Linked DNA regions of Bombyx mori. Each later gene encodes a partner of the first gene's protein in a complex. Links are inferred from orthologs where the notes say so. Each region holds a gene or a part of one and is shown on either strand. Other genes may lie near its edges.

Region 1 (3,567 bases):
TACAGAACTTAACTGAATTCAACACAGCCCACAACAGAAGAATATCGATGCTTGGTATATCAACCGAAGATGGAACTGATGTTATCAAGGTGAATAGTATATTCTTGTAAAAAAGTGTATTTAACATTTTAATGTATATATTGCTGTAAATATGAAGATCGACTAGTGAGTCTTTCCATACATGGTTCCCAAAGTATTTTGTGGTTACCAAAATGATTGAGATGAAGTCCCAATTGTGTTCTGTAACAGTTGTTGCCACTTGAACGCATGATAGCTGTGCAGTGAAAATATAGTGGTGTCACCATCCACTATGTTCCTCTTAGTCCATGATACCCCCTTAGTATGATTAAAACAGTTCAGTAATTCAGACAAACATTTCTGTTATATATACCTAACCTATTATATAAGTAACTAGCAGTACCCGTCCACTTCGCTGGGAATTTAAAATTAATATTATTATTTCTCACCCCCACAAAGATTCTCATCATTAACGCCCCCGCAACTGGTGTAGGGAGTCCAACACTCATATAAATATTAGCCTATCCATTAAGTACATGTATTTTCTACGTGGATACCAAGTTTCAAGTTAATCGGATGCATGGTTCAGTAGTTATAACGGAACATCCGTAAAAACCACTGTAGATTTATATATTAGTATAGATACGACCTCTTAAATTTATCGAGAACATTCTGGGCAAGTCGAGTAGCTTCGATGTGTTTCCGGTATCTGACAATGATGGCGTTGTACTTCTCGATCTTTCTCGGCGTTACTAGTTCCTTTGATATACGTTTCGGCTATCCGGACGATAGATGGCGTTACTCTTACCGGCGTAACATTACTATCGTTTTTCAGCCGACAACCGGTACGAAGCGTACCGTTTCGATGCCGGTCGGTGTGCCGAAGAAGCAGAAAAGAAACGTGTCTTTCAACGAAGAAGTGGACATTATCAATCCCGAAGACATAGATCCGTCCATAGGCCGTTTCAGGAACTTGGTCAAGTCGACGATCGTGCCGAATGCGAACGCCGTACCTAAGAAGCTGAAGCTGCAGAGCGCCGAGGAAAGTAAGTCGTTCAAGTTATGGACTAGCTTGTCCTATACTATAATATTATAAAGAGGAAAAATTTGTTTGTTTGTTTGTCTTGAATAGGCTCCGAAACTACTGAACCGATTTGAAAAAATCTTTCACCGTTTGAAAGCTACACTATTCCCAAGTGACATAGGCTATAATCTTTTTTGAAAAAAATTTAGGTATCCTCACTAAAACCCCAATAATGTAATCCAAGGTGTAAAAAAAATACCTAAAATATTCTTTATATCGCGTGCTCTGCGAAAACTATTGATGATAGAATAAAAAAAATGTACTACGACTTTGTAGAACATATTATTATTTATAAAAAGTGTCGCGACAGCATATTATGTCTAACTATTATAATTATGCCGCAATAAGTGTTCTTTTATCTTAACAAAATGAAGCTTCAAATATCGTTGAAATTTTTGTTAAAGACCCGAGCGGAGCCGGAGCGGCCCGCCAGTCCTATATATACGTTAACACACTGACTGGCTGGTTGTCACCGGATAGTTGTCATACGATTCAATTGAGACCTCATGTCTTAAGGTGACAATATTCAGATTACGTCTATGAACTCTGGTCTCCCTTTAACATTTTGATTGCGATGTAGGTCACCGGTGCCCTACGCGGCGTACTGAAGTAATTATGTCGATTTCTATTAGTAAGCGCATCTGGATTGCCTAACTTTGCCTTCTTTTGTTTTTCTGGCCGTCTGGTGTAGTGGTACGTGACATGGTCACTACACAAGGGGGTCGCGGGTTCGAATCCCGCCAAGGGAAGATTTTTGTATGATAAATATAAAATGTATTTTCCTATGGATGTATATTAAAAAATATATATGTATAATAAAAATCTTACATTTATTTCCGTTATCTGGTACCTGTAACACAAGTTCTATATGAACTTAGTACGGGACCAGTGAACGTGGCGTGATTGTTTATAAAAAAAAAGTATGGTTTACTCTTTTAGGTCTCTAGAAATATATTCAGTCTCAGTATCTTAGGATTCGTCTTTGCCAGATTCTAACTAGATATTCCGGCGTCTTAGTAAGAAGATCGAAGAGAGAAATCGACATAATTACTACTTCAGTGCGCCGCGTAGGGCACCGGTGACCTACATCGCAATCAAAATGTTAAAGGAAGACCGGAGCCCATAGACGTAATCTGAATGTTGTCACCTTAAGACATGAGGTCTTAATTGTATCGTATAAGGACTTTCACGCCAGATGTACTGTTAAAAGTGAGACCTTAGAACTTATATCTCGAGGTGGGTGGCGGCGTTTACGTTGTAGATGTCTATGGAGTCCGGTAACCACTTAACACCAGGTGGGCCGTGAGCTTGTCCAACCATCTAAGCAATAAAAAAAGGATGGAGGAGGATGGAGCCACTAGAGGGCCAAAACTGAACTTAAATGGGCTCAGACAAAATGATTTTAATATTGACTTGTTAATATGTATTGCAGATCAACATCACCACTCGTTGAGGCTGCAGGAGATATCTCGGGGAGGGAATCTGTACTCGGATTTGCCCGCACCGAGCTCACATCTAAGTTTGATCGGGGCTAGGTATGTATTAATATTCATTATTGAGCAATGAGAAATTACCCCGATCTATTAACGGTGCTTTTAGGTACCACAAGCACCGGTCACCGTCCTCGCCGAACCTGTCGCATGCGACGAAGGGCTCGACGAGCGAATTAACCCATAGACACAGCCCACTGAGTTTCTCGCCGGATCTTCTCAGTGGGTCGCGTTTCCGATCCGGTGGTAGATTCTGCGAAGCACTGCTCTTACTGGGGCCAGTGTTAGCAACATTCCCGATTTGAGCCCCGTGAGCTCACCTACACACGTTTGGGTGAAGCTGAAATAGCCTATCAGCATAGGTAGGTTTTTTTTTTTTCGTTAATATTATATTGACATGATAAATTAGCTTGTATTCATAGATGCGATTTGTTAAAATAGTTTTGTAATTATAACCAAGAACATATTTGGTTTATAGTTTAATATTTAAACAACCGAATGTACTGCAATATTTATATATAATATGTATATATATATATTTCCATCCCAGAGCGCATGTTACGTCCTATATGGCGGTTTTTACCGATGATATTGCATCCGACCGACTTATTGCGTCCTGTATATGGACGCAAGATTGTCCATTTCTCAAATTCAGCCAGAGGTAGCCGAAAGATCCGTACAATGCGTGGGTAAAATATTGGCATGGACGTTATTTTGTCACCGGATTGATTCTCACCGTATTTCTTAGTTCCGCTGTTTGGCACGCGAATTTTGGAGGTCGCTTCTCCGCGGCGTATATCGGTAGCGTATATTGGATATTTTTTTTACGTAAATTTCACCGATAATGTGACTTCTGTATATAAAAAAATTTCAATTCAAGTTTTTATCAATTCCAATTTGTGGTTTAATTACGTCACACAAAATGACCCCGTTCCAAGAGAAACGCGGGAACAACAGGGGTGAGGGGGCGGAGTT
Region 2 (4,186 bases), on another chromosome or scaffold:
CTCTGATTTGAAGAGACTCTCAAATGGTCTGGCAAGGAAAGTAAGGCTGCTTCCTCGGGAGACAAATACTTTAGTGTTTCTGTATGGTTGTGGTCTTTATTGTCTTTGTCACATCCCTCTGGAATTTACAAAGCACAAGTTAATTTTATATTAGTATCTAAACGATTATAAATAATACTATCAGCTATGTAGGGACCTAAATTTTTATTTTTTATTGCTTCGATGGGTGGACATGCTCACAGCCCACCTGGTGTTAAGTGGTTACTGGAGCCCATAGACATCCACAACATAAATGCGCCACCCAACTTGAGATATAAGTTCTAAGGTCTCAAGTATAGTTACAACAGCTGCCTCACCCTTCAAACCGAAACGCATTACTGCTTCACGGCAGAAATAGGCAGAGTGGTGGTACCTACCTGCGCGGACTCACAAGAGGTCCTACCACCAATAACAAACTATACAATCTATTTACCATTTCAAGTTTCCAATCAACATATCTTTGTGCATTTATTTACTGAGTAACCCAAGTTATGTGCATGTAACACACATTTTTTTTCATGGGTATGCTTCCAACTAATTATTTTGATGTGATATAAATATAAAGTATCAATAAGCTTTTTTTTTTTTTTTTTTATTGCTTTTATGGGTGGACGAGCTCACAGCCCACCTGGTGTTAAGTGGTTACTGGAGCCCATAGACATCTACAACGTAAATGCGCCACCCACCATGAGATATAAGTTCTAAGGTCTCAGTATAGTTACAACGGCTACCCCACCCTTCGAACCGAAACGCATTACTGCTTCACGGCGGAAATAGGCGGGGTGGTGGTACCTACCCGTGCGGACTCCCAAGAGGTCCTACCACCAGTGATTACGCAAATTATAATTTTGCGGGTTTGATTTTTATTACACGATGTTATTCCTTCACCGTGGAAGTCAATCGTGAACATTTCTTGAGTACGTATTTCATTAGAAAAATTGGTACCCGCCTGCGGGATTCGAACACCGGTGCATCGCTACACACGAATGCACCGGACGTCTTATCCTTTAGGCCACGACGACTTCAAAAGAAATTATTAATATCTGCAGTCAATAAAAACAGTATCACAGAGGTTAGCCCTCTTCACACTTATGCATAAAACCTGCTCCAAATATTGCACCCAAAGATACAAAACAACTAACTTATACTATCTTAATATCATACAACCTGTAAAAACAATAATTTTCATTTAAGCATACATGATATTTCTAAGAGGCATGTATGTCTAAACGTTGTTTAAGTTGGGATGTGGGTGTCTCTGTAGGGTATGTGCAATTCAATTGAGTGTATAATATACTTACTACAGTATTTACAATACAATATTTTTTACAGATTCGGACCAAATATAGAATCTTAGTGAGTGGTATTTTACATAATTGATACTAGATTTTCATTTAAGCAGCAATATTAACAAGTTTATTAAGTCTGTTTTTTTCTTCTTTTTTTTTTCTTCTTCCTATATAAACCATTCAAGATGCAATGAAACTTGGTATAGTTGTTATTGGTACTTTTGGGAGTGTTGTTATCATAATACCATGAGAATAGTTTAGCAAATAAGTGCTTATGCAGCTTAATGTAATATATGCTTAGGTGTTAGTAATATTAGTAATATCAAAATATACATATAATCCCATCTAGACACTGGTCACAACCACTACCTACAAAAAAAAAACAAATTTACATGAGTTCTAGGAAAACATGTAGATACTGTTTATTTAATGATCTTGTAATGGATCTATAAAATTAGTAATTGATTATGATGTGACAGAACCTCAAGGATGTGATATGGAAAATGCAAATACTATTTTATTGATTGATTTTAAATTTCAGTCTTGAAATAAAAAACCATTAAATTACAGTGGACCCCCTGTAATCCGACAAACGTTTTGTAAGGCAGTGTCAAACTACCTATTACATTTGTCGAATTATACAAGTACTGCCTAAGACCCCCTTTAGTCCAGATTTTTTTACAAAAGAGTACTTTATAATCCAATAAATTACAGATCCAGTAATAAGATTCTGTATGTTATATTCTGAAATGCAAATCATACTTCATTATGTATATTGAATTTAGTAAATTAAAAAATACAAGAGAAACCTTACGTTTTATTATAAAATTAACGTCAGTAATACTTTAAAACTTACAAAAAATACTTTACGAATGCCATGACGACTTTTGAAACTTTCTAGCCACCCCTTGCTGGCCATAAGCATCTTTTATTTTATTTAAGTACTTTAAAAAACTTAAGCTTTCATGGTCAAGATGGAGCCTGAAATGGGCGCATGCCTATTTGTTATCAGTAGTCGAATTCAAACTAACCTATCAAAACCAAAACAATACCTAAGCGTCTAGTACAATAGTGATGGCGCATACCAGTTGTAACCTGTTCAATCATGCATTATCTAAGTACATTAGCGAAGACTGTCAAAAAATATTCAATAATAATAGACATTTCGGATTACAAGGGGTGCCAGATTAGACAGCGGCAGGATTACCGGGGGTCCACTGTTTAAGCAAAATGTAAATTTTTATGTTTGGAAGCTCGTTAAATATTTTCAAGTAGAACTAACCTTTTCTTTTTGCAAGTTGTTCTTCGATGTACTTCATCATCTCCTCATCTTCGTCGCGTTTGTTCGTTTCCGCTGAAAATTGTGTGCCTATTCCGGTATCATACGCATCATCCACCTGCTTCAGTTTCCCGTTCTTAAGGGCTTGCATGTTAATCATCCCGCCAGTTTTAACTTTAAAAGGATCTTTACAAGTCATTTCATCTTCCAACGTTACTTTCTCGCCGGTTGCCAGGGCTATGATGCTCACCCCATTAGGTCTTTCTCGAAGTTTCTGAATTTCTTTTGTTTCTTGAAGTCTTTGCAAAATGTGCTCCTCATCATCAGAGTCTTCATCTTTGATACGCGTACGAAGATTTCTAGGCTTCTTAGATTTCAATTTAATTTCTTCGACTTGTCGATTTTCTTGAGAATCTGAATCTGCCATATTCATTATTTATGTTTGATCTTTTTACCATAGATAACTTATTTCCCTTTTTTAAAGAATGACTGCTTGCAATGTCATTGTTGCCAGTGTTGAGTTAATAAAAATCTCTAGATAAAATATACTTAAAATAAATTTTACTCTTTGAGAATAATGATTTGGAGAAGAATGAGATGAAATTTATTTATTTTATACTGTAATTATGATGAAATTAAATTAAATAAGATGCTTTAAAATATACTGTAGTCTCAGTAAAATTACAAAAATTTACTTAGATACATTCATTATATGAAAGGAAAAATTACATTTATTTATTGCATAGACGTCTGAACGAGCTCAAGGCCCAACTTCAATAAAGTGATTACCAGAGCTAGTACACATCTACAACGAGAGGTCACCTACCGCTAATTGTAGAATATAACAATTCGTTCATTTAACAAACCAGAACGTAGAACTACTTGGCGACCTAAATACTGAGATAGTGCCTATGAGGGCTCACATTAGGTAGTTATTTCATCCACTGCCAAGCTGTCATGCGTTCCAGTTTGAAGAGTAAGATGACCATTATACAACATAATTTAGATTTCTACCTCATGTCTCAAGGTATATCTCATAGCTTTCTCACTCTGATCTCTATTAGCTTTGATATCACTCAATACAAGGTACGCCATAAACTACTTTAAAGACCAATCAACAGTAATATACGTAGGATGTAATGAAACCCAAGGGAGTTGCTGGTCTCCAACCGTGCGCCTCCGTGAGAGGCGGATAATGGCAGCTTTTGGTCATCATTCCCAGAGATATGATCGCACCGATGCGGACCAAAACCAGCACGAAGTCGAGTAGGAGGGCCGTGCTCTCAATGCTCTTCATTTGATGAAGAGTGCTCCACTTAGAGAGTGAGCCTCCCGATGGCACCGATGGTTTGCCGGCGTACCGTGTGCAGTGGTACTCTGTGTTACTTGTGTTAGTAGTGAGCCGGTGCTACTTTTGCATCTTCCTGTCGCTAGTTGTTATGTTCCCGACTTCAACTACATAGTAACGCCCTCCAAAGGGAGGTACCGGTTTGCCAGCGTGGCTTCGAGATTGCTCGTTAGAGTATCGGGCCGTGATCAGCCGTGCTGCTCTTTGTACTCGGCGGGTTGCCGGCCAACC

Evidence for each region. The genes of interacting proteins can lie anywhere in the genome.
Region 2: nuclear inhibitor of protein phosphatase 1 (region 1) and uncharacterized protein LOC778507 share a complex: the UniProt entries of both Homo sapiens proteins name them as parts of the spliceosome. The link is inferred for Bombyx mori from reciprocal best matches to the Homo sapiens genes PPP1R8 and C9orf78.

The regions. Positions count from the first base shown.
Region 1 is NC_085126.1:4,085,659-4,089,225, forward strand, and holds part of nuclear inhibitor of protein phosphatase 1, read left to right. Parts: intron 1-5; coding exon 6-89; intron 90-853; coding exon 854-1,064; intron 1,065-2,534; coding exon 2,535-2,637; intron 2,638-3,567. UniProt on the Homo sapiens protein: Inhibitor subunit of the major nuclear protein phosphatase-1 (PP-1). It has RNA-binding activity but does not cleave RNA and may target PP-1 to RNA-associated substrates. May also be involved in pre-mRNA splicing.
Region 2 is NC_085120.1:2,479,760-2,483,945, forward strand, and holds the start of uncharacterized protein LOC778507, read right to left. Parts: upstream 2,807-4,186; coding exon 2,611-2,806; intron 119-2,610; coding exon 1-118. UniProt on the Homo sapiens protein: Plays a role in pre-mRNA splicing by promoting usage of the upstream 3'-splice site at alternative NAGNAG splice sites; these are sites featuring alternative acceptor motifs separated by only a few nucleotides. May also modulate exon inclusion events.